4 linked regions of the Struthio camelus genome follow. The protein of the gene in region 3 binds, or shares a complex with, the protein of the main gene of each other region. Links are inferred from orthologs where the notes say so. Each region holds a gene or a part of one and is shown on either strand. Other genes may lie near its edges.

Region 1 (7,410 bases), on a different chromosome or scaffold from region 3:
AATGGGTATTTCAAAACTTTCTTTTCTTGAAGTCTTATTTGCAGCAAGATTAACTGTGAAGTAAGCTGGATGTGCTTATTTGAAGTTTTTTTTTTTTTTTTTTAATAGGTGTCTCTGATCATAAACACACAAGTATTCATTTGTACAAGAGAACGTTAACCCATCATAACAAGTTCTGGAGGCCATTTCAACAGCACCTGCAGCAAATTGCTGGTTACTATCTGCTCAGGAAAGCTCACCAGTTTCAATGAGTAAATCTTCTCAGGTTTGATAAACAGGAAAGTAGCTCAACAAATATCGCAAATGTTTAACTTAGCTAGCTTTAAGTAGCACCAGAAATAAAACATACATAAGTATTTTAATAGCAGCCTATTGGAAACCTACCACAGCTTAAACCACCTTCCCTCTCCTTTCTCAATGTAGGAATTGCTCTGGCCAGTAAGAACAAGCAATGCTGTTCCTCACCTGGTATGTATTGTAGTAACAGATGATGCTTTTGTTTTTTGAAAGTCCTAGTTTACTGCCCTGATCTGTTGCAAGGGCAAAGGTGGACAGAAAGCCAGGTCTAAGTGCATGTTCTGGAGCATTATCATTGGCAACTGAAACAAAACATGAACATTTTTTGTTTTTACATGGTATCTATGACCGCATCACAAATCCTCATTCAACTTGGTGCTGTTCCAAATGTAGATTTGGTGTACAAGATGCATTATTTGTCCCCCAGCACTTCTGCAACAACTAACTGCTATGGGGCAACCTTCAAAAGCAGTATATAGGTTAACATTCAGTAAACGACCTGTGGTCGTTACACCAGCATCCTTCCTTGCACTCCTAAGAAACACTTTTCCTTTATGGAGCACAGTCTGTGTTAGTGCTGCTTTGGTTCAGCATTCTCCACCAGCAAGCATTCATTTGCAGGAAGGCAGGTGAAGGTACGCAAAATCTGCTTGGCACTTAAGTACTTTGGGACGTAAATATTTTCAGGTACCTGAATCTTTGCATTCTTAAACTATTCTACCTACAACGTATAAACATCTTAAACAAGAACTGCAGAGACATGATACAAATGATAGTGCCAAAAAAGCAAACCGAGTCACATAAAACCTGTAAGTTGGATGCAAATTCTTCTGAGCACAGATCAGAAGGTATTCAAGGTATTATGCTAACTAAACATCACTAACTTCCCTCCTAGCACCTTATAACAACCTGCAAGTGATCTGAAGATACAAACACCTTATACCATTCCAACCATGTTCACTGATGATGCAAAAGAAGAAAAGTCCTGTGGACTACATCATCAGGAACATTGCATAAACATAGATAGATGAAAGGATTACACAATTAACTATTAAAGCAAAAATCTGATATTCACAGATAGCAGCTGTAAACACAAAAGTCTGTCATTCTTTTACCCACCCCTTTGCAGCACACAGTGAGAAGCTGAAGTTTACCTTTGATAACAGGCACACCATCTCTATCTGATACTACAATAGCATGAAGACCTTCAACACTGCAGAAAACAAAGAAAATACACCTTTTAAAATGAAGAATAATTAGTGACAAAGAGTTTTTTTTCTGCACAAACATGCAAGAAAGGGAAGAAAGCAATACGGAAAAAATTGCTGCAGTAAGCTCTGCCTATCATGAAAACACTACTCAACAGGAAGAGACTTGTAAAATACATACTGCTCAATAACCACGGTCTCTTGAAAGAATTAAAACAGTGAGTATAAAATAAAAATACTGAAGATGGTGTGGAACTTTCAGCAGCAGAAAGAGGAATGTTACTGTAAAAGTTTCATTAGCCAAGCAAGAGACTTGAGATATAGTATATAGTCAATAAGTGCCAGTTTCACTGTGTTTGTGCATGATCTCCTGACTGCAGCTGTTTAATGATACTAGTAACTTAAAATTACCCCAAACTGAGTTATCAAGGACTTGGAGACTGAGTCACCAGGAGTGTTTTTTTCCACTTCTCATTGAGAAGTGATAAAGCATACTGGGCTTCCTTTCAAACGCACAAGTACAAGGTTAAGCTGGTTTCATCTTAAGGTACTTCCAGCTCACTTACACAACAGAAAAGTACACTAACCTTCGGATTAACCATGTCTCTTTAACAGCAAAAGGGATTAGTAATTGACAGTTCTCTCGAGTCAGATACCGCACAGACATCCTCTGGCACAGTTTAAAAACAACTTAAACGTTTGACACTGGCAGGCTAGATAAGGATGCTTCCAAAAGCCACCGCATTGTATTACCTTCACTGGAGATCCGAAACAAAACAAAAAAAAAACACCAAAAACCCCACAAAACAGCACCCCCAAAAACCGCAAACGCACCACTTGCGAAACAGGACAGGCAGCCGGCACCCGAGCGCGGTGCGGTGCCCACGTTACCTTGGCAGCTTCTTGTAGAGAAACCTCTTCAGGTCCTGAAGGGAGAGACGGCCGTCAGGTTGCTCCTCAGAGAAAGCGCACGCAGAACAGCGCCGCAGCCGGCTCTGCCCGCTGCCGGCGGCTCCCCTTCCCCCCGCGACCGCCGCCAGCAGTCCGGCGGGTCCGGCCCCCCCCCCTCCCTCCCTCCCTCCCCGGCGGCGCGGGCCGGGCGGCGGCCGTTAACGGCTGCTCGCGCGCCCAACCGCCGCCCCAACGGCAGCACCCCCCGCGCGAGCGGGCCCGGCCGCGGCCCCAGCCCCCCCACCCCAAGGCTCGCACTTACGTCGGCCATGGCTCGGGGCCTCCCGGCGCTGCTGCCACCTCCGCGGCCCTGCGGGACAACGTACCAACGGTCACCAGCGCCGCGGCGGCCCCGGGAACGGCGGGTGGCCCGGGTTGGGGGGGTGGGGGGGGAAGGGGGGGGGCAGTGCTCACCTGCCTGCGCAGCCGCCACCGCCACTTCCCCTTTAAGCCGCTATCACGTGACGACGCGGCCGTCACAGCCCCGGAAGCGCTTCCCCGCCGCGGCAGCGCCAGATTCGTCCCGCTGGCAGGCGCCGAGCATGCGCGACCGCGGCGCGGCTACGGTGCGACGGCGGGGCCAAACGCGGCCGCGCCGGCGGCAGGAGCCCTGGGGGCGGCGGAGAGAAGAGACAGCGCGGGCGGCCTTTCACACCGAAAATAAGTTTATTTTGATGCCAGTCCCGTGTTACATCAGGTATATTACAAACCACACAAGTCTTTTAAAACCTCACTCGTGAGCTTCGACTGCGCATTGGCAAAATAAAGTCCGTTTCCTGCTGGGGGACCCCTTTCAGTGCAGCCCCTTTTGCCAGGCTCCCGCTAATATTTGATTTTTCTTTTTTTTTTTCCGGAGGTCTCCTGCACTGCAGTGCTCGTCTACGAGCCTGAGCAGCCCCTTGCTCCGGGTTTCATTCCGGGAACGTCCCCTGCTAGGGAAACACTTCGCTTACTGGAAAAATACACTTTTTTTTTTTTTTTTTAAAGTGAATCGACTCCAGAGCTGTCAAAGTTAGGTGGGCACTTTTCACGGCCAGTGGAAGCCCTGCTCTGTGCAAACTTACAGTAGCACAATATAAAACAATCACAAATTTGAGGTATTAGCTGGAAAAAATCTGTACACCTATACACATGCGCATGCACAGTATTCACAGTGGCCCCAAGACCAGCAAACCTTGGCATCTGAAAGAAACTATATCCTGACCAGGGAAAGTATACATGCAAAAAGCTTTAAAAAAAACCCACACACTTTGCATAATCCTTAATATAAGGATTTTTTTTTAAACCATGCTTAGAAGAAATCAAACACATTGGAACAAATTCCTGTTGTTAACAGTGACAATGAAACTAAGAAGGGAGTCTGAAATTTCCAATTTCCCCGTAAGGATTACAAAATTCACCTAAGAGATTACTGCAAGATTAGCAGCTACTTTTCACCAACCAGCACAAAAACTTAAAAGATAGGGTTTTTTGGTTTTTTGTTTTGTTTTGTTTTTTTGTTTGCTCCAGCAGCTTTTCCTCCCACGCTGCCTTTGCGCCTACAGCTGGCCGAGGCCTGCAGGACACGCAGGGCTGCTTGGCCGATTTGCCTATTTCACCATCTGGGCAGAAAAAGCATTTCTGTGGCACCAACAGAGGTAACCAGAGGGAGGGAACCTTGTGCTTTTCTGTGCCCCCCTGGGGCTCCGACCTGAACTGGGATCCCCCAGAGCCCCTCGGGCACAAGCTGTTTAATTCCATTTAGGACACCCAGGACAATTCCAGACAAGATGCTGTGCTAGTTTCAATGGCAGCGGAATAAAAACCTCAACAACTATTGTCTGCATTCAAATACTTCGGGAAGTTGAGCTATTTTCATAGGAATCGGATGTTTCTTCTCTTGCAGTCAACACAGAGCAAAACTAAGGGTTCTGTTTTTCCAGTAAGCACCACAGCTCATCTTCTAGGAAGATCGGGGGAAACAGCACAGTTTTGGAGAATTCCCCCCCTCGCATCTAAGTTAAAGGAACAAAAACTGAAATGTCCATTTCTGCCTAGTATAGTTATGCCTAGTTTCACTTTTCCAGTGAGGCTCATCTCCCATAAACATACCCATACTTTTGGATCTTGTCCCATGCACCTGCAGACTAACAATTTAACAAATTCAGGTGAGGAAACAAAGCAGATTCATCCACTAGATGCTCACTGTATAAAAACAGAAACTGTGTATCTATCTTAAAACTCGTGCTGTGTCAGAACCTAGGACCACGGTGGTGCATTTCAAAGAGTGTTCAACATATAACAGTGCTCCTTCTCTGAAGGAGAGCTGCTACACACTGAGCACGGCTGAGAATCTGAAGATTTTGTCTGGATGACAATACTGGAGCTCAGGAAAAAAAAAAAAAACTTGACTCAAACTTGCTAATGTTTCTGAACATATAAGTCTTGTGAGGTCAAAAAAAAAACCCAAATAACCAGATACAAGCCAATTTTGCAAGGCACAGAGGAAAAGTTCAGTAATAAAGGGCAGATTCCTTTGCATTTTGAGAATCTATGCATCTTTCTAAATACAAGACACGGCAATTTAAAAAGGGACTTAGTCACACTAGAGCAACACTTAAGGCAATCCCCATAAAATTCTCATATGTGAGCTCCTGGTAGTATTTTGAGAATGTTACATGCAAAAACCTTGATTCATTCATTTCTTAAGATATTCCTCACCATACAATAAAAATATTTAAAAATGCAACTGGGTTGTTAAAATTTGGCAGCATCATCCTAAGTGATTGATTCTACTTCCTTCTCTGTCACACTAAGTACTGACTGAAAGCTGTGCAAGAGCATCTATGAGATGACTCCTGCATTTTAAAGTTATCAGCAATCTCGTCTCCAGTCCCAGTGACAGCCTATGTATACACAGAGCCTGTGCTTGCAAACCCTGCCCTGAGAAATCCTGAAAAATCTGACAGTCAAGCTTAATTCTTGCCAGCTTGGGAAGTCTCAGCTATCCCAGAGAACAGATATATGGGGAGGAGGGTTTATAATGGCATATTTCTTTCCCATATTTATTACATTTGTACTATTTGCTCTGAAAAATATCTAGATCACCCTTCAAATATGGCACTGCTGACAATGTTTTACATTTGTTATGTGGTACCTTTTGTCCAGGCTCCCTAAAGTGGTTTACAAAGGTGCATGGGGAAAACAAAGCCCAGAGATGAGTGATGCTTGCAAGATTATAGTAAATCCGTAGCAAAACGGCGATACAGCACCAGGGCTTGCGGCTGCCAGTCATCATTAATCATCATGACCAAGCTTCCTCTGGCAAAACTGACTGCAGTCTATTGAACAGATCTAGACAACTAGGAAGCTAGTACTTTTTTAAAATTACAATTTCAGGAATTTGCATATTGACTGGATTTCCTCTAACAAAGCATTTGTTTGACCATCCGATATTGCTTTCTTCTGCTGTGTTTGAAAGATCTACACTAGGAAAGGATGATGACGATTCATGACATTTATGGAGCAGACAACCTTAAAAAATGTATTTTTGCCTGGCCACTTTAATCCTTGTATTGCACTCATTACAACAGCATATTAAAAATGTCCATGATTTACAGTTGCCTCTGCTGCCTATTTAAAAGCATCCATTACATTTTAGTGACTATGTATTTTTATATTTCTTTGAAACTTATAAAAGAATTGAGACTGTTTAAAAAAAAAAGTCAAAAATTCAAATTTAATCTCGTTTTCCCTAAACAGGTAGAGAACTTGCAGGCAAATGTTCATCAGATGGGAACAATGAACTTGCTCATGACTCAGGCTGCTCCATAAATAGAACAGATATCGATGTTATTTCAGCAGATGCAAATCACCTCCCTTTTTTCATTATGGTATGTCAGAATCGCACGCCAAGATTTTTTACTTCTTGAAAGACTTTCCTACTTGCTCTTCTAAAGGAGAAATCAAGAACCCATGTTTGTCCTGTTTTTAATTCTAGATTAGACTAAATCCAAAGAATAAGCAGTTAATTCTAAGCAGCTGGAGAAGCTGAGGGGTTTTTAAGTGAGGCTGTTCAAAATCACAGTTTTGTTTTTCCCTTTTCTTTCTAGTATCTTAACTGTATGAGTACTTAACCTTTTGAAGAAAGGTCATCTGAAAAGATTAAAGTACTCCACTCTCTTCAGTTAGCACCTTCCTCATAAAAGGATTCACTCTGAACTTTCCAGCAGATTCCTTCAGCAAACCTGGGAAGATGACGACATTTCTGAAGATAAAAACTTTAGACTCAGGAACAAAGTAACAACTAGGCGAGAGAAGCACCCACTAGAAACATTAACAGAATGTTTATAGGCCATATTTAAAGCAAATTAATATTTATGTTACAGGAAATAATATCATCCTTCTACATTCTGCATGCTACTGCATATTCAAACTCAGCAACTATTTAATCTGTTAAATGTGAAGTAGCATTTTTCCACCAGTTTAAACATATTAGCTGTTTCTTCTTTTAAAAGAGTTATTACAATAGATAATCCAAAGAAACCTAACAGCCTATGTCTCACTCGTAACCTACTGGGACGTCTACGTCGCTACAGGACACAGGCATTGCGTTATTCCGGTCTGCAGAAATACTAATAGCGATCTAACCAGCATAAACCTGCTCAGCAGCAGTTCATTTACCACCTCCTCAGATGAAGCAGAAGTAACTGCAGAGCAGACATAACCCATCAGATTATTATAAGCAGCTTTGCTAAGACCATCTCTTAACTTTGACTTCACTGTTCCAATATTTGACAAATGTGTTATACATCCATTTTACTCTGTTAACTAAAAAATCAACTGCAAGCTCAGACTCGTTTGTGAATCAAAAGGCCTGAGTACTTGCTAAAGCCTTCGAAACATTTTTTTTTCTATTAAGAACACACAGGAGTATCAATATGTACTCTGACAGTTTGTTTCATTAGTATATTTA
Region 2 (7,608 bases), on a different chromosome or scaffold from region 3:
CTTAAAGCTGTAATCTCTGTTTCCCTCTCTTAAATACATAGGCAGAATTTGAGTTTACCAGTACTGCAAGGGGCAAAGGCTTCCTGCAGGATTGGTTCCCAGCAGCATTTGAAATGCTTGAATCTGTAAGGTGAAAACTGGCCTGGATTGGTGAAGGTGTAATCAACATCCAGTTCACGCAGAGCGGGGGCAGGCAGCACAGCCAGGGCAAACAAGTTTCAGTTTGAACTTCAATCCAAGGCATGGTAAGCAAGTAACCTTCATGCAGGAAGTTTAACCAGAGGAGGCTAAACATTTCCTAGAAAAAAATTCCTAGGAAAGTTTTTGTGCCTTTTCCACTGGAGGAGCCTCCCTTAATTCAACTCTTTATGCACTGCTCCATTTATCTAGAGAAATGCTGAGGAAGAAGGGTTTGGAGGAGCTACCTCACCTGGCTCTGGAAACAGCTCCCTGACTTCTGTCAGACCAAGAGGCAACAGTTTTTGCAGCAGGAGCAGAGAGAAGCAAATGCAGGTTTTTGCAGGTCATTTATTGATTTCTCTAACAAATAAGGCCACACACACACACGCGCACACCTCGTATTGTCTGATCATTACACAAGCTTGGCCGGTGACCCACATTTCATTCTTGGCAGCATGACCGCTAGAATGCGAGTTGAAGAACCCGATAGCTGCACAGGAGCTGTTAAGTAAAGAGGAAGAGCCTTCAGGCCAGATTTGGTTCCTACAAGCACGTTCTGCATTGGAGCAGCAGAGGAGAGTGGTTGTCCAGTGAGGAAGAGCTGGTTTGGAGGTGGGAGCGCTGCACAGGTTCCCGAGAGGTCAGGATGCCAGCTTGTGCACTGCTACAGTGATGCTGTCGTGCTTCTGGATCATGATATTCCTAGAACAAAACAAAACAAAAAAACCGACAACAAAAAAGTAATGTTTGAGGCAGTTAAGCCAGCTGCAGTGATGACGAAGCTCTGACTCGGGTGGGAAAGCAGACAGCGGTATCATTTCGTGGCTGCAGCAACCCCCAGCTGTGTGCTAGACCTGTCCTTTGCCTACCACACTGGCAAAAACAGTGGCTGAGGCTACAGGATGGGCTTAATTATCCATGTAGATGCCAAGTGGGGAAGAAGCATAGAGCTGGAGTAGCCACCAGCCTCTGAGAGGCTTCCTGCTGCTTCTCCAGTTCCTGCTACTGGAGATCCCATTAAACTACTGCTTTCATGTGCCTGTGTCGGCATCTAGGCTGAGATGGGGCTTCCTCCGTGTCTGCCAGTTCAGCTTGAGAGGAGGAAAGTCTCCAAGGCTGAAGCGAAAGGCAAAGGGAGAGAAAAGCAGCGCGGCGGATGCGCCAGGCCCGGCCGCTCACCCGCTGTCCGACTCCAGGCACACCACGGGCGTATCGGTCGGGTCGGAGGTGAGCTTGGCTGCCTGCTGGGCGAGGACGGAGATGACGCCGGCGTGCTCGTCGGAGAGCGTGCCTCGGCCTACGGGACGGCGGAGAGGCCGGGTGAAGCCGCGCTCGCCGTGACGGTGCTGTGGGGCTGCTCCAGCCCTTCGCCTTTGCCGCCCTCCCTGGGCCTCATGTCCCAAAATGTGTGTGTGTGGGGGGGGAGACTTCAGTGGGGCAGGGCCTGGGTGGGAGGGCTTTGGCAGGACTGAGTGACCCCAAATGAGGGGAGCTGGGGCAGGACTGGGCCCGATGTCCCCAAATTGGTGGGGGGGGGGGGGAGAGGTCCAGCAGGGCAGGGCCTGTTGCCCCCAAACTGGGGAGGGGGGAGGCAGGGCCCGGTGCCCCTAAATTGGGGTGAGGGGGGGAGGCAGGGCCCGGTGCCCCCAAACCGGGGTGGGGAGGGGGAGGCAGGGCCCAGTGCCCCCCCCAAACCGGGGTGGGGAGGGAGGCAGGGCCCGGTACCCCCCCTAAAGCGGGGTGGGAGGGGGAGGCAGGGCCCGGTACCCCCCCTAAAGCGGGGTGGGAGGGGGAGGCAGGGCCCGGTGCCCCCCCAAACCGGGGTGGGGAGGGGGAGGCAGGGCCCGATGCCCCCCCAAACCGGGGTGGGGAGGGGGAGGCAGGGCCCGATGCCCCCAAACCGGGGTGGGGAGGGGAGGCAGGGCCCGGTGCCCCCAAACCGGGGTGGGGAGGGGAGGCAGGGCCCGGTGCCCCCCCCAAACCGGGGTGGGGAGGGGGAGGCAGGGCCCGGTGCCCCCAAACCGGGGTGGGGGGGAGAGGCAGGGCCCAGTGCCCCCCCCAAACCGGGGTGGGGAGGGAGGCAGGGCCCGGTGCCCCCCAAACCGGGGTGGGGAGGGGGAGGCAGGGCCCGGTGCCCCCCCAAACCGGGGTGGGGGGGAGAGGCAGGGCCCGGTGCCCCCACACGGGCGCTCCGCTACTTACACCCCAGGTTCAGGCCCTGCGAGTCGGTGCACAGGACGCCCACGACGGCCGGGCTCTTCATGCTGCGGGGGCAGACGGCGGTGGGTGAGCGGTCAGCGCAGCCCCGGTGCCTCCCTCCCCCCTCCCCCTCCCCAAAACATCCCCCTCCCCCGGTTCCCCCCCCCCCCGGCGCACGTGTCCTCCAGGTGCTGCTCCAAGCTCCCCTCCATGGCGCCCCGCCGCTTCCGCCCTGCCCCGCCGCTCCTGGCGGCGGCGTCGCTCACGTGACGCGCGCTGGCGGACGGCGGCTCCGCGGGGCCGAAAGGCGTCGCTACGCGAACGCGGGCGGCACTCGCTGCGCTGGCGGCGCGGGGCGGCGGCTCCCCCAAAACCGCGCCCGCTCTGGCCGGCACCTCCGGGGCCGAGAGCCTCCCGGCAGAGCCCTGCGCGACGCCAGGGACCAGCCACCATCCGAGGGAGGATGCGCTGCGGGGGCTCAGGGAGCCGCTCGGAGCCCCCTTAAAAAAGGGCAGAACAGCCTTTTCCCCCCAAATAATGAGTGTGGGTTTTTTTTTTGGGGGGGGGGCACAAACGATAGAGGGAGAAATCTCCCATCCGGATGCTGGCGGCTGCAGCACTGGGATAACTGGGAGCGCTGGTGCTGCCCGCATCTGGGGCTTTTGCAAGGGAGCCCTCCCAAAACACAGCCTCGCAGGTGGCGAGGAGGAGGAGGAGGAGGAGGAGGAAGATTTACAACCAGCGCGTCCGCATTGCTAATAAGGCACCGGCTGGAGCCGCTTTGGCCGCCGCCGCTCGCTGCCTCTCGGCTTGTCAGGGCGGAAAATTGAAACGTTATTGATGGGAGAGGCGAAGCCCAGAAATATCCATTTTTCTCCTGGGGGAGCTGCAAAGGGGTCCGGCGGCGGCAGCCGGGCTCCGCGCGGCCCTGCTCGCCGGGAGCCCGCTTTTGGCCCTAGCCTTTCCCAAGGCGGCGGGGGGTTTCCACCTTGGGAAACGACGCGGAGCAAAAAGGCACGTAGCCACCGGGCTCTGCGTCTTCTCTGCCCCGCGGGGACCTTTGCAAGGAAATGGGCCCAAACCAGCAGGTTTCAGGCCATTCCCTGCCCTGAGACTTCAGTGTTTCTGGCTCAACAGGGGCAATTTAGGGGGTTGGGAGTAATTAATCCAAGAGCGGGTGGACGAGACCTTACCGAAGCGGTAGGACCCGTCAGAACAGCTGCCGCTTCAGAAGAATCGCTCTTCGCCAGCGGAGAAAATTGCCCGGCTATTTTTAGTGTGCCAGCTAATTAAATATATAGACAATTTAGCATCTCACGGAGAGGCTCTCCAGGAGAAATTCTGCCGGCAGCAGAAAAGCCCGAATAAACCCCTCGGGGTCAGAGCGTCACCCCGGGGCTGCTGAGGCCGGTGGCTGGATTTCATTCACGTCCCCAAATCGGCGATGGCAGCCGCTGTTTTTTCAGCGCTTCAGGTTTTGTGGGCGCTCAGCCTGGCGCCCACTTAAATATGAAGCGGCTCCTATTGGCAGCCCTTTTTATTTTAATGTGGGTCTTGACGTGACTCAGTTTCCTCTCCTGGTTTGCTTCTCCTGGGGAACGGACAGAGGGGGCTGAATTCATTAATGCTCACGGGCAGCCTGGATGCTGCGGTGATGGTACCCAATGGCTTGAGGGAGGTGAGGGGGGGACCTTGCTGCGGCCTTGCCAGCAAAAGGTTTTCCCACCGTGGGAAAAAAGTTTTCCCACCAGAAATGCAGCCCAGGTTGCATTCAGCTTGATTCGACACGATTTTGCTGAACAAAAGCCAAAGAGAAACACCGAGGACGGAGAGCGAGGAACAAAAATCAGCGCAAAAAGCCACCGGGCTGCAACGGCACAGCGTCCATCGGGAAGGAGGGGTTTCTAACCCTTTGCACGAACACTGGGGAAATTTTGATGCTCTTTTTAAACAAAACCCCCTTTTTTCAGGTAGGAGAAGGCGCTGAGAGAGCCACCCTGAGTTTCACGGGCCGCTGCGGGAGGGCAGGGTATTTATCACAGGCCACCACTTTATTCCATGCTGTGCACCATGATCTGGGAAGTCCCAGGCTCATTTTTTTTGTCACGTCTTTGGCTTTGGCTGAATAGTCAAAAATTCTTAGTTGAATTCTTAAGTACGTCAGGCAGGGATAAATGTATGTGTCTATAAGTATGCTTGAAAAATCCAGTTGTGTTGGCTTAACTGAAAAATAAGCCCAGGTGACTGGTGATGTTTTATCCCCTGCTGCTTGGGTGATTTATTAATATTTCTTTCCTACCGTTAGCGAGTCAGGTCTCATCTGCTTCTTCTGAGCTCATCCGAAAAAAAAAAAAAATACCCAACTGGCATCCGGGGCAGACGGAGGGGCGTTATATAGGGCGCGAGGCACGGGCGCTCGCGGAGCTGGGTGCGCGGCCGAGCGCCTCGGCACCATGAGGAGGGTCCTGCAGGGCGCCTGCCGCCTGCTGCTGCTGCTGCTGCTGCTGCTGCCGCCGCTCCAGCGGTGCGCTGTCATCACCGGGGTGAGTCGGGGCCCGCCGCCCTGGGGGGCTTCGCGCGTCCTGGAAATCGGGCAGAGTTTGCGCCCGACCGCGGGAGCCGGCCCCGGCCTCCCCCCTCCCCGCCCCGGGCGAGTGCGGAGCAGTGATTTGTGAGTCCCTCTCTTTCTCCCCAAAATGCTCCTCATTTCTGATGTTTTACCTTAAAGCTGTCTTTTTTTTTTTAATTATTATTTTTAAAGCAAGGGACGCGGTGATTTTACCAGCACGCGAATTAACGATTGGCGGTTTGGTCCCAAATTCCAGGGGGGGCGACACCAGGAAAAGCCCGTGCCAGCCGTGAGCGATGCTGCTGAGAGCCGAGGGCTCTGTTTCTGGGGCAAGCTGTTGCTTTAACCTCGCTCTGCAATTCGTCCCCCAGTGCTGCCGAAAGTCAAACTGTCTGTTCAGAGATGTGGAATTAACTCCCTGCCTCTTTTAACCTCTCTTATTTGCAGTGAGCTCCCAAGAAAAAGGGATGGAAAAGTTAGCGACACCTTTCCCTGGTTGCTTCGGGCTTTTTTGCAGGAGTTTATTACTCGCTCTTTCGCTTTTCTTCCTTCAGCAAGTCCGTATTGTTCCTGAATATAAAGTCACTCCGAAGTCTGTTTTTTCTCAATGCCATGTCAGAGCTGGCTCTCGAGGAAATGGGAAAATCCAGGGGTGGAAAAGGGGTCCTGAGGGGCCATGAGCAACCCCAGCGCTGTGCCGGGAGCAAAACGAGCCCCGTGAGCACCGGTCCGGTGCTGGAGGTGCCCCATCAGCTCAGTTTTAGGTGCTTTGGGGCATGATGGCGAAATCTGGCAGTGTTTCCAGCCGCCTGTCGCACATACCCCTGCCGTGCCTCAGTTTCCCCCAGGACGGGCAGACATGCAAACCCCGATGACCAAAATGCACTCCAAAAAAGCTTGGGTGGGGGTTTCCGGAGCGGGGCGGGCGGAGGGGGGAAGGCGGCGGGCGACGGCTGTTCTGCCTCTCCGCAGGCCTGCGAGCGGGACCTGCAGTGCGGGAGCGGGACCTGCTGCGCCGTCAGCCTCTGGCTCCGGGGCCTGCGGATGTGCACGCCGCTGGGACAGGCGGGCGACGAGTGCCACCCCGCCAGCCACAAGGTACCGCCGCCGGGGTCTGCCTCGGGCCGGGACTCGCCCCGCCGGTGGCACCCAGCCGGGCGCCGGGGCTGCTCTCCGGCGCGGGAGAAGAGCGTGGGAAGATCCCTGGGTTGATCCCGGACGGAGGAGGGATGGGGCGCCTGGGACGGGGATGGGATGGATGAAGCCGCCGGCAGCGTTTTGGCCGGCGGCGGAGGGCTGGCGAGGCGGAAACGGCTCCGCGTAGCTGGGAAAAGACCACATCTCCCAGCAGACCCATCTCCCCCCCCCAGCTTGGGGTTCATCCAGGAGGGCAAATCCAAACCAAGCCAAAGCGGGTGCTTGTCGCAAAGCCTTGCGTTTGAAAGCTCCCTGCCTCGGCTTCCCCCCTCCCCGCGCCTGCCAAACTGCAGCGAGCACCTCGGGCGCCTAACAGCGATCTCTGGAGCACGTCGGCTTCAGCCGCATCCTCTAAAGCCCTGCAAAGCCCTGCCCGAAATCCTGCTGCTGCTCCGCGGTGGGCTGCACCCATCCATCAGCAGGTAGCTGGCAGCTCGGCACCCCGGAGATTGAGCTGTGCCTGCCATTTATTTCGAGAAGCGCGTGCCCCGGCGCTCCAAATCGACCCGCAAATGCTCTCTCGAGCCAGGAGAAGCCGAGTTAATGCCTCCGAGGCGGCCCAAGCGCGGCGATTTTGGCCGGCAAGAGGCACAAAACGCGGTTGGCTTATCCCGAAGCGCTGCTCCTGCCGTGGGTGTTCAGCCCACGCCACGGCGATCGATGTTGCCTGCCGGCAGCAAGGCTCAAGGCCGCTGCCGCTCCGACGCCGGCGGGAATCGGGATTTCATTTTGGACCCATCTCCGTTAAACCCCCAAGCAGAACCTAAGATAAATTCTCTGGGCTTAAATCGCCCTTGATATTTTTCTTGCCCAAAGGGAGAAGCGACCCGCCAGCACGAAATCTCAGCGTTTAACTGCAGCCCAGGAGGGAGGGAAGGGAGATGGGCAGACGGGTGGGTGGGTTGAGCAACGAGCGGCAAAGCCTTTCGCCGTCTCCCTGGAGTAAATCCTAGTTTTAAGGAGCTCAGCCGCGGAGTGGCCCGTGAGACACCCGCTGCCGTCAGCACCCCGGCGGGAATGTCCTCGCAAGCGGAGAAAAGCAGTTTTGCCACGTTTCGCCACGTGTTCCCGGGAGGGTTTCGTGCTGCCGCGGTGGGGTTCCTAGGGCTGCCGCGGCGAGGGCGCTCCCCAGGGTCGCGTCTCGGTCCGTCCGAGCACGGGGGGAAAAAAATCTCGCCTCCCCCCCATCTCTCCATCTCCCCCAGGGCTCCAGCATCAGGCGTTAAGCTGGGAAAAAAAAAAAAAAAACCTCTCATTTTTTGCCTGGCCGTGGGCTCACCGAAAGGTGCCGTGGGCTCCCGGCGGGTTGCAGCCGGGTGGACGGTCCTGGAGCCCTGACGCCGTCGGCTCTCCCGTTTCCTCCCGCAGGTGCCCTTTCTGGGGAAACGCCAGCACCACGCCTGCCCCTGTTTGCCCGACTTGACGTGCTCGAGGTTCGGCGACGGCCGACACCGCTGCTCGCT
Region 3 (7,097 bases):
TATTCATAGTCAAAAAAAAGAACCAAAATCACCCTTAAGTGTTCTGTTGTGCTGATGTCATTTCCAGAGCAGTTGAGCTTTTGCCTCTAAATACGTTAACCTCCAAACATATTAAGTGAATTCATGTATTTTTAATGGTTGTTCCACCTAGTCTCCTCAGTTAAGAGTACCAGGTTTTCAAAGTGAAGACAATCAGAAATACAGTGTTCAGAATAGTTGGAAAAGGTTCTGCTTTTTAGAATATAAATAATAGCCTGCCAGTTGTCCTCAGTTAAGAGCTGAAATACTAACAAGCAGTATATCTTGTGTGATTTCCTAAGACAGCTTCTGTAAAGTAAACTGCTCATATATAGAAAAACTTGACAAACTGGGACATTACCAAATACTGGCAGATGATAACAACAATACACAAACATAACTTTGTATCTCTGAAATTGATGAGACTGTTGCCTTCAGGTTTACCTAAAACACAGGAAGAGACTAAAAATCCAGAATGCTTGTTTCCCACCTCTAAAAACCCAGCTGTAGCAAATAAGGGTCTTTATTTTGCACATTATCCAAAAGTTTCAGCAGTATCCGATAAGATCATACATAGGGAGGATTAACTAAAGACCTATCCCCATTTGGAAAATGAAATAAGTTCAGCAACAGTTAATCATTTGTAATGGTCTTAAAAATAATACTTGAGTCTTGCAAATAAGAACCGTCAGCATCCTCTTTGGATTCTATACAAATGAAACAGGACAGCGTTTTGGAGGAAGGTAGGAGCAGACAGAGCGTCATATCATTTGGAAAGATCACTTGCTGCCTGGCACAGTGATCTACATTAAGAGGAAGAAGAGACATTGGAGAGTACTCACTTTCACTTCTTTCAACACAGGTGTGATCCCCACATTTCTGCCCCAGGGTCTGCATTGCAGCTGTTAAATTAACCACCAGTCTCCATACAAGTTCATCATTGAGAAGCGTCTTGGCAGAGTGAGAAATGCACAGCAATTACACAGAACAGCCCCGGCACCCTTTCCCAGTCAAGTGGTCACATCCCTGTATTAAGCTAGCGTAGAAAATAAGACGACCGAGACACAATTTAAGAAGTTTTGCCTCATGAAACATATCATTCAAAAAGAGAAACAAACCCTTCAAGGTAAGTGACAGAGAAGTGTCTGAGCAGCTATAATCAGTTTCTTGCCCAGTGAAGTCTGGTTACCGCACTGGACTTAAGGTTGTGTCCAGCAGCGTTTTGTGACTGCGTAAGAACGCAAAAGATCCATCAATATTCTGTGAAATAGTGGCACTGAAAATACTGTGCTATTAACCACCTAAAACGTTTTCTGAGATCATATTAGTGCAGTTAAGGAAATATGCAATCATACACAATTAAGTCCATCAGTCAGATAATCTCCCTTTACAGAGCAACCCAAGGGCTGATCATTTGGCAACAAGTTTCAAGATACTGCAGGGGGGATTAAGACACTACCTTAGAAGCATTTCAAGAAGTGCGTATCTCTTGCTAACGAAGCATGGGAGGTTTTTCTGTTTTTTGGGGGTTTTGTTTTGCACTTAAGGTGCAATCTTCGCATGATTTTTCAGGTTACCTTTACACCGCTCCAGCCGACGACAGAAGTGCTGTTCAGCATCTAGATAACTATCGTACAGCCACAAAAACTACCCGTTTCTAAGCTAACCTTTAAGCGAAGCCCTAGGCCCTGACAGAGCGGGGGCTAAGGGAAACACAGCGCAGATCCACCCACGTCCCAAGGCAGGACCCGAAGCAGCTCCCCAGGCCGGGGCGCCCCGACCTCTGGGGCGTCCCGTCCCCTACGCCACCAACGCTCCCACCTTGGCGACGGGGCCGGCGCAGACCCCCCCCCCCCCGCTCCAACCCACCCCTCACCCAGGCTTTTAACAGGCAGGAAAGTCCTCCGGGAGCAAACAATATACAAATAAATAAAAGGCTCCCCCTTTTTCTGCCTGCCAACGTTGTGCTTGGCCCCTTTCGGGGGATCCAAGGCTTGTCGTGGTTATATCACGACGAATTTCACGAGTAACCCTACGCCTCTCTTGGCGGCTGCGAAAATTTCGCATTTTTCGCCTCTTCCCCCTATGCCCCCCCCCTTCCCCGCACGTTTTTACGGCTGCTCCCGCCTGCCTCTGCCAAGCGGAACGGCGTCTCTCCCGCCTCAGCCCCCGGGCCGCCCCGCGCATCGCGGCTGCACCGGGGTGGGGGGGGCAGCGGAGGGCCCCCCCCCCCTCGGGGCGCCGCTGCCCCTCGGCACCGGGCAAAACCGGCGGGGAGACGGCGGGGGAGCGGGACGGCGGCGCGGGGGAGCCCTCCGCTGAGGAGGCCGCCGCGGGGGGAGCCGTGAGGAGACGCCGCGCGGGGGGGGGGGGGGGGGAAGAGCCGTGAGGAGACGCCGCGCGGGGGGGGGGGGGGAAGAGCCGTGAGGAGACGCCGCGCGGGGGGGGGGGGGGGAAGAGCCGTGAGGAGACGCCGCGCGCGGCGGGGGGGGGGGGGGGGGGGGGGGAAGAGCCGTGAGGAGACGCCGCGCGCGGCGGGGGGAGGAAGCGCCGTGAGGGGGCAGCGCGCTGTGAGGAGGCGGCGCCGTCGTGAGGGGGCAGCGCGGCGACCGCCACAGCGGCCCGGGGCTCCCGGTCGCCCCGGAGCGGGGCGCTTGCGGAGGGGCGAAGCCGGGGGAGGGGGGCGCCGGCCTCCCGCCGTGGCCCCTTCGGGAAGTCGGCGGCAGAAGTTGGGGGGGGGGGGCGGCGGCGAAGGGGGCGGCCCCGCCCGCTCACCTGAAGACGCAGTCGTCCCGGGAGTCCCTGGCGGGCGAGATGAGCCCGTGCTTCTTGTTGAAGAGCTTCTGGAAGAGGGTGGGCGGCATGGTGGGGCGCCGCCGCCGCCGCTGGCCCCCGCCGCCGAGGCGCTGGGCTCCGCGCAGCGCCGTCCCCTCGCAGCGGCTAGTTCCGCCAGCCCGACTCCATTCGGTGTCACAGTCATATGACAGAAATTAGTCACTCGGCGCTGCCAGAAGGGGCGGGCCGGCGCGGCCGGGCCGGGCGGGGCGCTGCGCTGCGCGGGCCGCTGAGTGGCTGCGGCGCCGGCCCCGCCGGGGGGGGGAAGACGCGGAGCCCGCCGCCCCCCGACACGGCCACCCGCCCGCCAGCCTTAGTTTCCTTTCTCCCGGGGGAATTAAGAGCAGGGCAAGATGGGCAAAAAGGTCACGCTGCCGCCGCTCGCTCCTTGGCGCTGTAACTAACGCTTCGGCAGCTTTCACCTGCTGCTAACTGCAGCCTCGCCCGTAACCGTTTCTGCCCCAGACCCAGGAAATCCCGCTCCGGGCCCCTGTCCGCTGCCCTAGTCCCTGCCCCGGTGGCTCCGAGGGAGCCTCCCCCAGCCTCAGAGCGAAAGCCGAGGCGGCCCAGCTCGGACGCAACGCCCCGAGGCGGCCCTCCTTGCCGCCGCCCCGCTTGAAACTTCCCTCTGCCCCCCGGCATGCCCGGCCCCTGAGGCCAGAAGAAACAGAGAAGCAAGACGTACCCCCCCCCCCAGGACCCCCCCAAAAACAAAACACGGAACAACGTTGCTCTATTTTATAAAAAAAATGAAAAGGATCCACAGGTTCTGCAGAACGGTGTAGTAGTAAAATACTTAAAGAAATGAAATACTAGTTATAGCTACCATTCTCCCTCACTGTCTCTGAGACAAGGCACTATGCAGACAGAACGCTACTAGAAAGTTAGTTTTTAATTCATTTGACTAAATAAAAGTGAAGTCACTCAACTGCTTTCTCTGGAAAATGGGATTAAACTAAATTAAATTAATTTAAACTAGTTTAAGTAGATTCTTTTAAGAGGGATAATTTAGCATGTGTAACACATTTTATATATTATTTTATGTCATTTTAGATATATATATAAAAAAATAAAATTATACTTCACAATCAGCCAGCTGTAAGAACTTCTGTTTTGCAGCCATTAAAAGTTGAAGATAATTATGACAGAAAATAGGAATCAAAGTCCAGATGCATCTTTTTCCCTTGTTCTCTATGGAGGATAGGCCTGCCTGCTGTGGATAGATCTTTATGGATCAATCCTTTCACCAAGTAAAAGCTAGCTAGCTTCAAGGTGGGCATAAAAGTACAGTTTCAAATTTAAAAACAAACAAACAAAAAAAACCCGCATACTCATAAAACTGGGAATCCTACCAAATAGTAGAATTTTGGCCAGAAAATACAATTTCATAGTTGCAGTTTATAGTACTGAAGAAGATTTAGCCATCTCAAGTACATTAAAATTCAAGTTGATAGAGTCCACTTAAAACTGAATATTAATCTGCTCCAAAGCTCCTAATTTAAACAGCAAGTGCTTCTTATAGGCTTGATTAAGCTATCTTAATCAGGACAGTGGAGGGGAGGACAGACAGAGAAAAAGGGATAAATACAAATTTAATAGTCCATTTTCCTATAAAAAAAAATCTCCCTGTAGGCAAATCCTCACACCTAAGCAAAGAACGTTAATTTCTACTTATCTGTCTATTCAGTAAACATTGCCTTGGGCCCCAAACCTGTACTTTCAGCCTTTAGAGATTGTGAACCAACAGATAGAGCTATTTGCATACAAGGTCTTTACACTCCAATAGCTGGTACACATACCCCTAGAGTACTCCAGTGCATGAAGCAAAACATTTCTCAGTCCCTCCAAGCCCTTTAAGATCTCCTAAAAGTACGCTTCACATAACATTTTCAGTTATTTCTGTTAACAAAAAAAACTCTTAATAGCTTTATGTACAATACATACTCTAAATATGCAACTACAATACACATTTCCTAGTGATAAAGTATTAACACAGTTCTTGCATAGACTGGCTCATTTTAAGTGATTCCATTCAAATCATTAAGACTTCGTCATGTCTAGATTTGTGACACATCAGCCCTATTGACACTGACCAGACTTCTCTCCTGAATCACTGCACAAATAGGCGCTTCTGTACAACCCATTAAATGGCTGTGACCCATAACCTTTTCCCACTAATATGGAAAAGCCAACTTCCACTTGGAGTGAAATTTTATATGTAGTCATTCTTCAGCTTCAAACATGGGGAAAATGCCTACCCTCGGAAAAAAGCAGAACAAGAGTAGATATTGTTGTGGCTTCAAAACAAATAAAATTTCCTTCCCTGGGGCGGAGAACTAGCCTGGTAATTAATTATACTTTCTCTAAGAGTCAGATAAAAGCTGAAAATAAGAAGCAGTGCTTTCATAACTGAAGGGAAGGACAAGAGAGATCGTGGCTCATGATATTTCTGTCCTCCTATACGTTCCCATCACACTGAGGAAAACAAAGTAAATCTGGGGAATTTTCAGGCTGCTACCGCCAAGGCCACGTTTACAGACTATGCCTTTTAAGTCTTGTACTCCCCAGTGAATATGTCAGTATTAGTCTGTTTCTCATACAGAAACTATGAAACAGTTTGGGGCAAAATAAGTGTTTTTTCTAGGACTCCTAGAATAAAAGAGGTATCTACTGTAAGTGTATTCTGGATCGCCCTTTAAGTGTGAAATGTTACTTGAATAGTCATTGTAATCACAATTTCTTAGATACACAGCTTTAAGCAAAATTAAAAGTTAAGTCAAGGCACTAACCTCTATCACCTAGGGGCTCTAGATTCTTGCACGCTTAATTACTAGTGGCTTAGTATTTGTAGGAACAAGGATATTGGTAATTAGAAGCATTCCCAAGGGGACTCAAACGAGCTACTGGCAGAACTCACTCTACTAATGCTTAAAGGGAAAATAATTTAATGGCATCATTTTTAACCTTGAGCCATATGATATGTTTATACAATACTTGTTTATGGACTAAATCTAACAGCACATATTTGCATTTTACTCTACCCCAGAGCAATGGGAATAGGTTCAGGGTCTCAACTTTCACAGGTACTTCCAAATGTAGTCAAACTAATCAGAGTTTTGCATTTTGTTTTCTTGACATGCTCATTTTGGAAATTTGGAAATACATTCCAGGGCATGAAAATCCTAGCTCATAATATCGAGAAACAAACTCAAGCTTCAAGTGGTCTGGAAAGCAACACTATCTTTTTAAAACACGGAGAAGCTTCCTTTATTTCTAGGAGAGAATCTGAGTAAGGGTTGTTGTTAGTGAGAACATTCTAGGGATCCAAACTACTTTGGTCTGTAATATACGCAAGAGAGAAGACTATACTCTTGTCCGTGCTTTTTGTTGAGGCGTTCAGCACCCTTTTGAAGAATGACATTTATAGATTAACAACACACAGACTGAACTCGAAGCACTGGGAATCTAACCTATATGCCAAGTAGCATGAGCAATAACTTGAAAATCCAGAATGCCAATATCCAGCTCTCGAGATAGTTCAGGTACGTTAGGGGTTCCCCCGCCCCGCCCCTTTTATTCAGGTAAGGCACCTACTTGCTCTGCACAAGTCTTGAGGACACAATGACTACTCATCTTTCATTACCACATGGGCCTTCTGAGCCCTCCTCTCTGCTTATCCACAGGGCATCAAGCCAGCCTCTCTACCAAGAGGTTATATTGTATCGTAGCACAAATTAAGTGAAAAAAGGTGAGTACTTTGCCTGCAAGGCAAAGAAGATTCAATAGATAGTCACTGTTTCATTGGGGAGGTCCATCTGTACCTAAGCCTCAACTCTGCACTAGAAAATAAAGAGTTTATTAGGACTATTGATATGTGACATACATAAAGTGCAGTTCCAGGTTGTAATTTTAACAGAAACTTAAGCCAAAAGCATGAAGAGCTGCATCATGTTACTTTAGTGAGACATGCATTCTCTACTTGAAGTTTAAAAAAAAGGAAGTTGAAGGTAGCAGGAGGCAAGAAATGATGGGAAGTTAAAGATGACTGAAACAAGTACCCCAATAGCAGGGATTCTGGGGGTGCCTGAACACACGTGGGCTGAAGGAGAACCGTGTGGAAATAGGTGGGATTACAGAATAACCGAGATGAAATGGAAAGACAGTGATTGGGCACTGTATATGATGCTAGTGCTGATCATAAGATAGCTGTATTGGGATGATGGTAGGGTAAAGATCCAGCTTCA
Region 4 (6,873 bases), on a different chromosome or scaffold from region 3:
GCCTTCAAGCCCGCGCTACAAGCACCACCTGCAGGAACAAGCACCAAAGCCAGCCTCTCGGTTCGGTCAGCGCGATGCTGTCGCTCGGGACCAGCAGGTTAAGGCACAGCTGGCTGTTATTTGTGCACGTGGGATTTCTGAAGGCAGCACCCATCTCCTGAGAGCGCCATCGAGGGCGCCACACCGCCCCGAGCCCACGCACCAGCCCAGCGGCGACTGCCACCAGCCTGCGCTGGATTCGGGAGAAGGGCACCCAAGAGGATGGGGTCAGGTGAGGGGGGGAACCTGCAAACAGCTTTTACCGGAGAGGCCGGGCCTCAGCCCAAACAGTCCCCCGAGCCCTGCGCCCTGCTCCGACCACGTGACAAACATCATCAAGGCCAAACCTTTCCTCCGAAAACAAAAGTCCGGCCCATTTCCTATTGTGTGGAAGGAGGAAGCCGCGAGCCAGAGGGCCGCAGCAGATCCTCTGCCCCAGCCAGAGGCCGGCGAGGCCAAGGAACCAGAGGGACGAGTCCCAGCCGTGGCCTCCGTTTGCCTCGGAGGGCGCGTCGGAGCCCAGCCGCCGCGCAGCCCTCCCCACGGAGGGGCCCGGCGCCTGGCTGCAAGACCTGAGGGGTCGCGACACCTCTCCCGCAAGCCTTCCCCAAAAGCGGCTCCGCAGACCGAGCCCCAGCCCTGCCCAGGGCAGGCCACTCCCCCCCTTTCCCCGTCCCCCCGGCGCCAGGCGGAGGACGGCAGCGGCGCGCCGGCGTCACCCGCAAGAGCATGGCAAGAGCCCCGAAATCCCGCAGGGCCTCTCCTCAGCCCCTTCCCTAAACACCCTCGCCCCACCGGCGCCCTAACGAACCCCCCCCGCCTGCTGCCCCATTGACACCCCTCCTGCCCCAGCGCTCAGCCCCCCGGGCCCCCCCCAGCTCTCCGCCCCACTGCCGCTCCCCCCCACCCAGGCCCACCGAGCAGCACCCCACCTTCACGCCAGCACCCCCTCCGCTGTCACCCCACTGATGCCCCCCAACGTGCCCCTTCCCCCAAGGCCCCCCCTCACCGGCCTCCCTCCCCCGCCCAGGCTCACTAACTGGCCGGCCTCCCCCCATCCCTCCCGCCACCCCCGCCCCACTGCCCCCGTGTCCCCCCGCCCCACTGTCACCCCGGCTCCCTTCCCCCCACATCCTGCCCCACTGTCACTCCAGCTCCCCCCCACCTCACTGTCCCCCCGCCCCACTGTCGCCCCAGCTCTCCCCTACATCCCCCTGCCCCACTGTCACCCCAGCTCCCCCCCTACATCCCCCTGCCCCACTGTCACCCCAGCTCCCTTCCCCCCACATCCTGCCCCACTGTTGCCCCAGCTCCCCCCCTACATCCCCCTGCCCCACTGTCACCCCGGCTCCTTTCCCCCCACATCCTGCCCCACTGCCACCCTAACTCCCCCCCCATCACCCCACCCCACTGTCCCCCTGCCCCACTGCCCCCCCAGCTCCCCCCTACATCCCCCTGCCCCACTGCCCCCCCAGCTCCCCTCCCCCCACTGCCCCCCCTTGCCCTCCCCCTCACACAGCCCATACCCCCCCATGGCACCTTCCCCCAGCCCCCTGGCTCCCTGTCACACCTAGCTCCCCCCACATCCCATTGCCCCACTGTCACCCCCCAGCTCCCCCCCCAAACACACCCCCAGCACCACTGCCACCCCCAGCTCCCCTCCCCACACCCCACTGTTATCCATGTCCCCCTGCCCCACCGCCACCCCAAGTGCTCTCCCCCAGGCCCCTGCCCCACTGTCACCCCCAGCTCCCCTCCCCCTCACACACCCCACATCCACCCCCATGGTACCTTCCCTCAGGCCCCGCCCCACTGTCACCCCCCCAGCCCCCCTTCCCCCCCGCCCCACTGTCACCCCCCAGCCCCCCCGCCCTACTGTCACCCCCCCCAGCTCCTGCCCCAGTCACCCCCTGACCTCCCCTCGCCCTACTGCCACCCTCAGCTCGCCGCCCCACTGACACCCCAGCTCCCCTCCTCCCACATCCCCCCACCTGTCACCACCTGACCTCCCCTCTCCCCTGCCCCACTGCCATCTCCACCTCTCCCGCCCCACTGTCACCCCCCAGCTCCCCTCCCGCCCCACTGTCACTCCCCAGCTCCCCTCCCCCCTGCCCCACTGCCATCCCCACCTCTCCCGCCCCACTGTCACTCCCCAGCTCCCCTCCCCCCTGCCCCACTGCCATCCCCACCTCTCCCGCCCCACTGTCACTCCCCAGCTCCCCTCCCCCCTGCCCCACTGCCATCCCCACCTCTCCCGCCCCACTGTCACCCCAGCTCCCCCCTCCCCCCACATCCCCCCACCCCACTGTCACCCCCAGCTCCCCTCCCCCCCGCCCCACTGCCATCCCCACCTCTCCCGCCCCACTGTCACCCCCCAGCTCCCCTCCCCCACCTCTCCCGCCCCACTGTCACCCCCCAGCTCCCCTCCCCCACCTCTCCCGCCCCACTGTCACCCCCCAGCTCCCCTCCCCCACCTCTCCCGCCCCACTGCCACCCCCCAGCTCCCCTCCCCCACCTCTCCCGCCCCACTGCCACCCCCCAGCTCCCCTCCCCCACCTCTCCCGCCCCACTGCCACCCCCCAGCTCCCCTCCCCCCCGCCCCACTGCCATCCCCACCTCTCCCGCCCCACTGACACCCCAGCTCCCCCCTCCCCCACCTCTCCCGCCCCACTGTCACCCCCCAGCTCCCCTCCCCCCCACTGACACCCCAGCTCCCCCCTCCCCACACCACCCCGCCCCACTGACACCCCCTGCCCTCCCCCTCCCACACCCCACACCCCCCCGGCCCCCGCCCCGCACCTGGTCGGAGGCCTCGGCCTCGCTGCTGTAGCAGCAGCCCATGGCGAGGCGCAGCAGGGCCGGGCCGGGCGCGGCGCCGCTACGGTGTCCGGCAGGGGCCCTGCCGCCCCGGTCACGTGAGCGCGGCGGCCGCGCGCCAGCAGCGCGCGGAGGGGGCGGGGGCGGAGCCGCCTCCCTCCCTCCCCTCCTGCCGCTTCCGGCCTCGTGACCCGCCATCCCGGCCCAGCCGGCGTCACGTGGGCAGGCGGACCAATCCGAACGGGAGCACACCCCCCCCCCCCCCCCCCGCCGCAGCTAAAGGCGCGCCGTCACGTGCGGGGGAGCCAATCAGCACGCGAAGCGGAGAGCACGTGGCGGTGGGGGGGAGCTCCCCACCCCCCCAGCCGCCTGCTGCCGACACGTGACCGCCGCGGGCCGAGCTCGCGCGTGGGCGCCGTCACGTGGGGGGCCTGCGCCGGTCTCGCGCGGGCACCGTCACGTGGACGCCGCGGTCTTGCCGCTTTCCGGGTTGGCGTGGCGGGCTCGCGCGTGGGCGCTGCCACGGGGGGGTGACGGCACGGCACAGGCGCGTGCGTGGTGTCCCGGGAGGGCGCGCTGCACGCGCGCGCACAGTCACGGGGGTGCGAGTGTGGCACACGGGAACGCGCACTGTCCACGCCTGTTGCAGTGGGTGTGTGCTTTCGTGGGTGTGTGCGCGCGGGTCCGGGGTGTGTGCGTGGTCCCGGGGTGGGGTGAACTGCACATACGTGGCCCCCCCGCTGTGCATGGGCATGGGGGTGTCCCGTGGGGGTGTGCCACGCAGGGTTGTGGCCGGTCACATGGATGTGCACACCGCACGTGGGCGTGGGGGTGGGCACGTGGGTAGGCGCACGTGAGTGTGTGCGTGCGCTGCCCCCGTGTGCCTGGCTGTGTACGTGTGTGTGCATTGCACACGTGCCCCCCACAGCGCCAGGGCATGGGCCAACGTGGGGCCCATGCTCCTGGCTCCCAGTGCTTCCACTGCTCCCAGCACCCAGTGCTCCCAGTTGCTGGTGCTACCGGCACCCAGTGCTCCCAGTGCTTGGTGCTTCCAGCACTCCCAGCACCCAGTGCTCCTGGTGTCGGGTGCTCCCGGCACCCAGTGCTCCCAGGGCTTGGTGCTCCCAGCGCTCCCAGCACCCAGTGCTCCTGGTGTCGGGTGCTCCCGGCACCCAGTGCTCCCAGGGCTTGGTGCTCCCAGCGCTCCCAGCACCCAGTGCTCCTGGTGTCTGGTGCTCCCGGCACCCAGTGCTCCCAGTGCTTGGTGCTCCCAGCGCTCCCAGCACCCAGTGCTCCTGGTGTCGGGTGCTCCCGGCACCCAGTGCTCCCAGTGCTTGGTGCTTCCAGCACTCCCAGCACCCAGTGTTCCCAGTCCCTGGTGCTCTCGGCACTCAGTGCTCCCAGCGCTCCCAGCACCCAGTGCTCCTGGTGTCTGGTGCTCCTGGCACCCAGTGCTCCCAGTGCTTGGTGCTCCCAGCGCTCCCAGCACCCAGTGCTCCCAGTCCCTGGTGCTCTCGGCACTCAGTGCTCCCAGTGCTCCCAGCACCCAGTGCTCCTGGTGTCTGGTGCTCCCGGCACCCAGTGCTCCCAGTGCTTGGTGCTCCCAGCGCTCCCAGCACCCAGTGCTCCTGGTGTCTGGTGCTCCCGGCACCCAGTGCTCCCAGTGCTTGGTGCTCCCAGCACCCAGTGCTCCTGGTGTCTGGTGCTCCCGGCACCCAGTGCTCCCAGTGCTTGGTGCTCCCAGCGCTCCCAGCACCCAGTGCTCCTGGTGTCTGGTGCTCCCGGCACCCAGTGCTCCCAGTGCTTGGTGCTCCCAGCACCCAGTGCTCCTGGTGTCTGGTGCTCCCGGCACCCAGTGCTCCCAGTGCTTGGTGCTCCCAGCGCTCCCAGCACCCAGTGCTCCTGGTGTCGGGTGCTCCCGGCACCCAGTGCTCCCAGGGCTTGGTGCTCCCAGCACCCAGTGCTCCTGGTGTCTGGTGCTCCCGGCACCCAGTGCTCCCAGGGCTTGGTGCTCCCAGCGCTCCCAGCACCCAGTGCTCCTGGTGTCGGGTGCTCCCGGCACCCAGTGCTCCCAGGGCTTGGTGCTGCCTGCGCCCAGTGCTCCCAGTTCCTGCTGCTCCTGGTGCTCCCGGCACCCTGCACCCCGCACCGGGTGCCCCATGCCAGGCACACCGGCGTCCCCGGAGCCGCTGCAGCCGGGCCGTCGGGAGCGCCGGCGTCGCCATCCTGCCCTGCGCCGTCCCGCGGCGGCAGCTGCCAGCTGGGAATCGGCGCGGCGCCGGCGTGCCTGACGCCAGGCGGACGGGACGGCGCCAACCTGCGCCCTGCACAGCCCGGCGCGGCCGAGCGGCCTTCGGGTGCAGGCGGCCGTTGAGCAGCGCCCGCGCCGCCCGAATGCACGCAGGGCCGCTGGAGGGATGCGGGGATGAGGTGTCATTGGCACTGCTCTGCCTCCATGCCCCGGATCCTGCACCCATCCCTCAGCTCCTGCACCCATCCCTCGGCTCCTGCACCCATCCCTCAGCTCCTGCACCCATCCCCCAGCTCCTGCACCCATCCCCCGGCTCCTGCACCCATCCCCCAGCTCCTGCACCCATCCCTCGGCTCCTGCACCCATCCCTCGGCTCCTGCACCCATCCCCCAGCTCCTGCACCCATCCCTCCACCTCCTGCACCCATCCCCCGGCTCCTGCACCCATCCCCCGGCTCCTGCACCCATCCCTCCAGCTCCTGCACCCATCCCTCCACCTCCTGCACCCATCTCTCCCCAGGTGCAGCCTCCCCCCGCAGCCCCTGCGAGGGCCCCGGCTCCAGCTTCGCCCCAGCTCGGTAACCGGAGCCGGCGGCCGGCTGCGGCTAAGGTGACACCATCAATAATTGAGCGGGGAGCTGGGCTGCGCAGGGGCTGCCGGCCGGGCGCTGGCGAGCCTGGCCTGGGGCCGCGCGGCCCGGCCTGCCCGCCGCCCGGGACGGACAGGTAGGAGCCGTCCTGGCCCTGCCGGCCCGACGCAGCGCCTGCCCCGGCTGGGCCCTGCGGCCCCGGCGCGGGGTGGAGGCGCAGGGTGCAAGGGGCAGGGGCAGGGTACGGGGTGGGCAGTGCAGGGTGCGGGGTATGGGGTGCAGGGGGGGAGCTGCAGGGGCCAGGGTGCAGGGTGCGTGGTGGGGTGCAGGGGGCACGGTGGGGGGTGCAGGTTGCATGGTGGGGGGTGGGAGGTGCGGGGTGCAGGGTGGGGGGTGCAAGGGTGGAGTGTCGGGTGCAGGGGCCAGGGTGGGGGGGTGCAGGGTGGGGGGCAGAGGGTAGGGTGTGTGGGGTAGGGTGAGGGGTGCAGGGTGGGGGGGTGCATGGAGCAGGGTAGGGGGTGCAGGGTGGGGGGGTGCAGAGGGCAGGGTGTGTGGGGCAAGGTAGGGGTGCAGGGTGGGGGGGTGCATGGAGCAGGGTAGGGGGTGCAGGGTAGGGGGTTGCAGAGGGCAGGGTGTGTGGGGCAAGGTGGGGGTGCAAGGGCAGAGTGTTGGGTGCAGGGGGCAGGTTGGGGTTGCAGGGTTGGGGGTGCAGGGGGCAGGGTGGGGGGTGCGGGGGGCAGGGTACAAGCTGCAGGGTGGGCAGGGAAGGGTGCGGGGTGTCGCGTTCAAGCTGCAGGGTGCTGGCGGCAGGGAACCGGGCGCAGGGTGGGGGGCTCGGCGCAGGGCACGGGGGGGCGAGTTGTGGGGTGCACGGAGAAGGGCCCCGGGGTAGCAGGTTCCAGGTGCAGCGTGTGGGGTGCAGGGTGTCAGGTGTGGGGCACAGGTTTGGCAAAGCCGGGACGAGGGGGCGAGGGGCCCGCGGCATGTGCACACGTCCCCGTGGCGTGTGCATGTGTCCCCACGGTGTGCATGCATCCCTGCAGCACGTGCATGTGTCCCCGTGGCACGTGCGCATGTCCCCACGGCGTGTGCGTGTGTCCCTCTGGCACGTGCACACATCGCTGCAGCGTGTGCATGTGTCCCCGTGGCGGGCACATGTGTCTCTGCACTGTGTGCA

Evidence for each region.
Region 1: FNIP1 (region 3) and LAMTOR3 share a complex: the UniProt entries of both Homo sapiens proteins name them as parts of the lysosomal folliculin complex. The link is inferred for Struthio camelus from reciprocal best matches to the Homo sapiens genes FNIP1 and LAMTOR3.
Region 2: FNIP1 (region 3) and LAMTOR5 share a complex: the UniProt entries of both Homo sapiens proteins name them as parts of the lysosomal folliculin complex. The link is inferred for Struthio camelus from reciprocal best matches to the Homo sapiens genes FNIP1 and LAMTOR5.
Region 4: FNIP1 (region 3) and LAMTOR1 share a complex: the UniProt entries of both Homo sapiens proteins name them as parts of the lysosomal folliculin complex. The link is inferred for Struthio camelus from reciprocal best matches to the Homo sapiens genes FNIP1 and LAMTOR1.

Annotation. Positions count from the first base shown.
Region 1 is NC_090945.1:27,874,986-27,882,395, reverse strand, and holds the start of LAMTOR3 (ragulator complex protein LAMTOR3), read right to left. Parts: upstream 3,008-7,410; 5' UTR 2,871-3,007; intron 2,767-2,870; 5' UTR 2,728-2,766; coding exon 2,719-2,727; intron 2,432-2,718; coding exon 2,397-2,431; intron 1,511-2,396; coding exon 1,452-1,510; intron 600-1,451; coding exon 466-599; intron 1-465. UniProt on the Homo sapiens protein: As part of the Ragulator complex it is involved in amino acid sensing and activation of mTORC1, a signaling complex promoting cell growth in response to growth factors, energy levels, and amino acids.
Region 2 is NC_090965.1:4,483,355-4,490,962, forward strand, and holds LAMTOR5 (ragulator complex protein LAMTOR5), read right to left. Parts: upstream 2,693-7,608; 5' UTR 2,592-2,692; coding exon 2,557-2,591; intron 2,445-2,556; coding exon 2,383-2,444; intron 1,478-2,382; coding exon 1,360-1,477; intron 883-1,359; coding exon 822-882; 3' UTR 509-821; downstream 1-508. Other genes in the region: PROK1 (prokineticin-1), read left to right, coding at 4,833-4,922, 5,921-6,046, 7,514-7,608. UniProt on the Homo sapiens protein: As part of the Ragulator complex it is involved in amino acid sensing and activation of mTORC1, a signaling complex promoting cell growth in response to growth factors, energy levels, and amino acids.
Region 3 is NC_090954.1:2,847,820-2,854,916, reverse strand, and holds the start of FNIP1 (folliculin-interacting protein 1), read right to left. Parts: upstream 3,009-7,097; 5' UTR 2,883-3,008; coding exon 2,794-2,882; intron 992-2,793; exon of another isoform or gene 861-991; intron 1-860. UniProt on the Homo sapiens protein: Binding partner of the GTPase-activating protein FLCN: involved in the cellular response to amino acid availability by regulating the non-canonical mTORC1 signaling cascade controlling the MiT/TFE factors TFEB and TFE3.
Region 4 is NC_090942.1:224,068,230-224,075,102, reverse strand, and holds the start of LAMTOR1 (ragulator complex protein LAMTOR1), read right to left. Parts: upstream 3,015-6,873; 5' UTR 2,881-3,014; coding exon 2,839-2,880; intron 1-2,838. UniProt on the Homo sapiens protein: Key component of the Ragulator complex, a multiprotein complex involved in amino acid sensing and activation of mTORC1, a signaling complex promoting cell growth in response to growth factors, energy levels, and amino acids.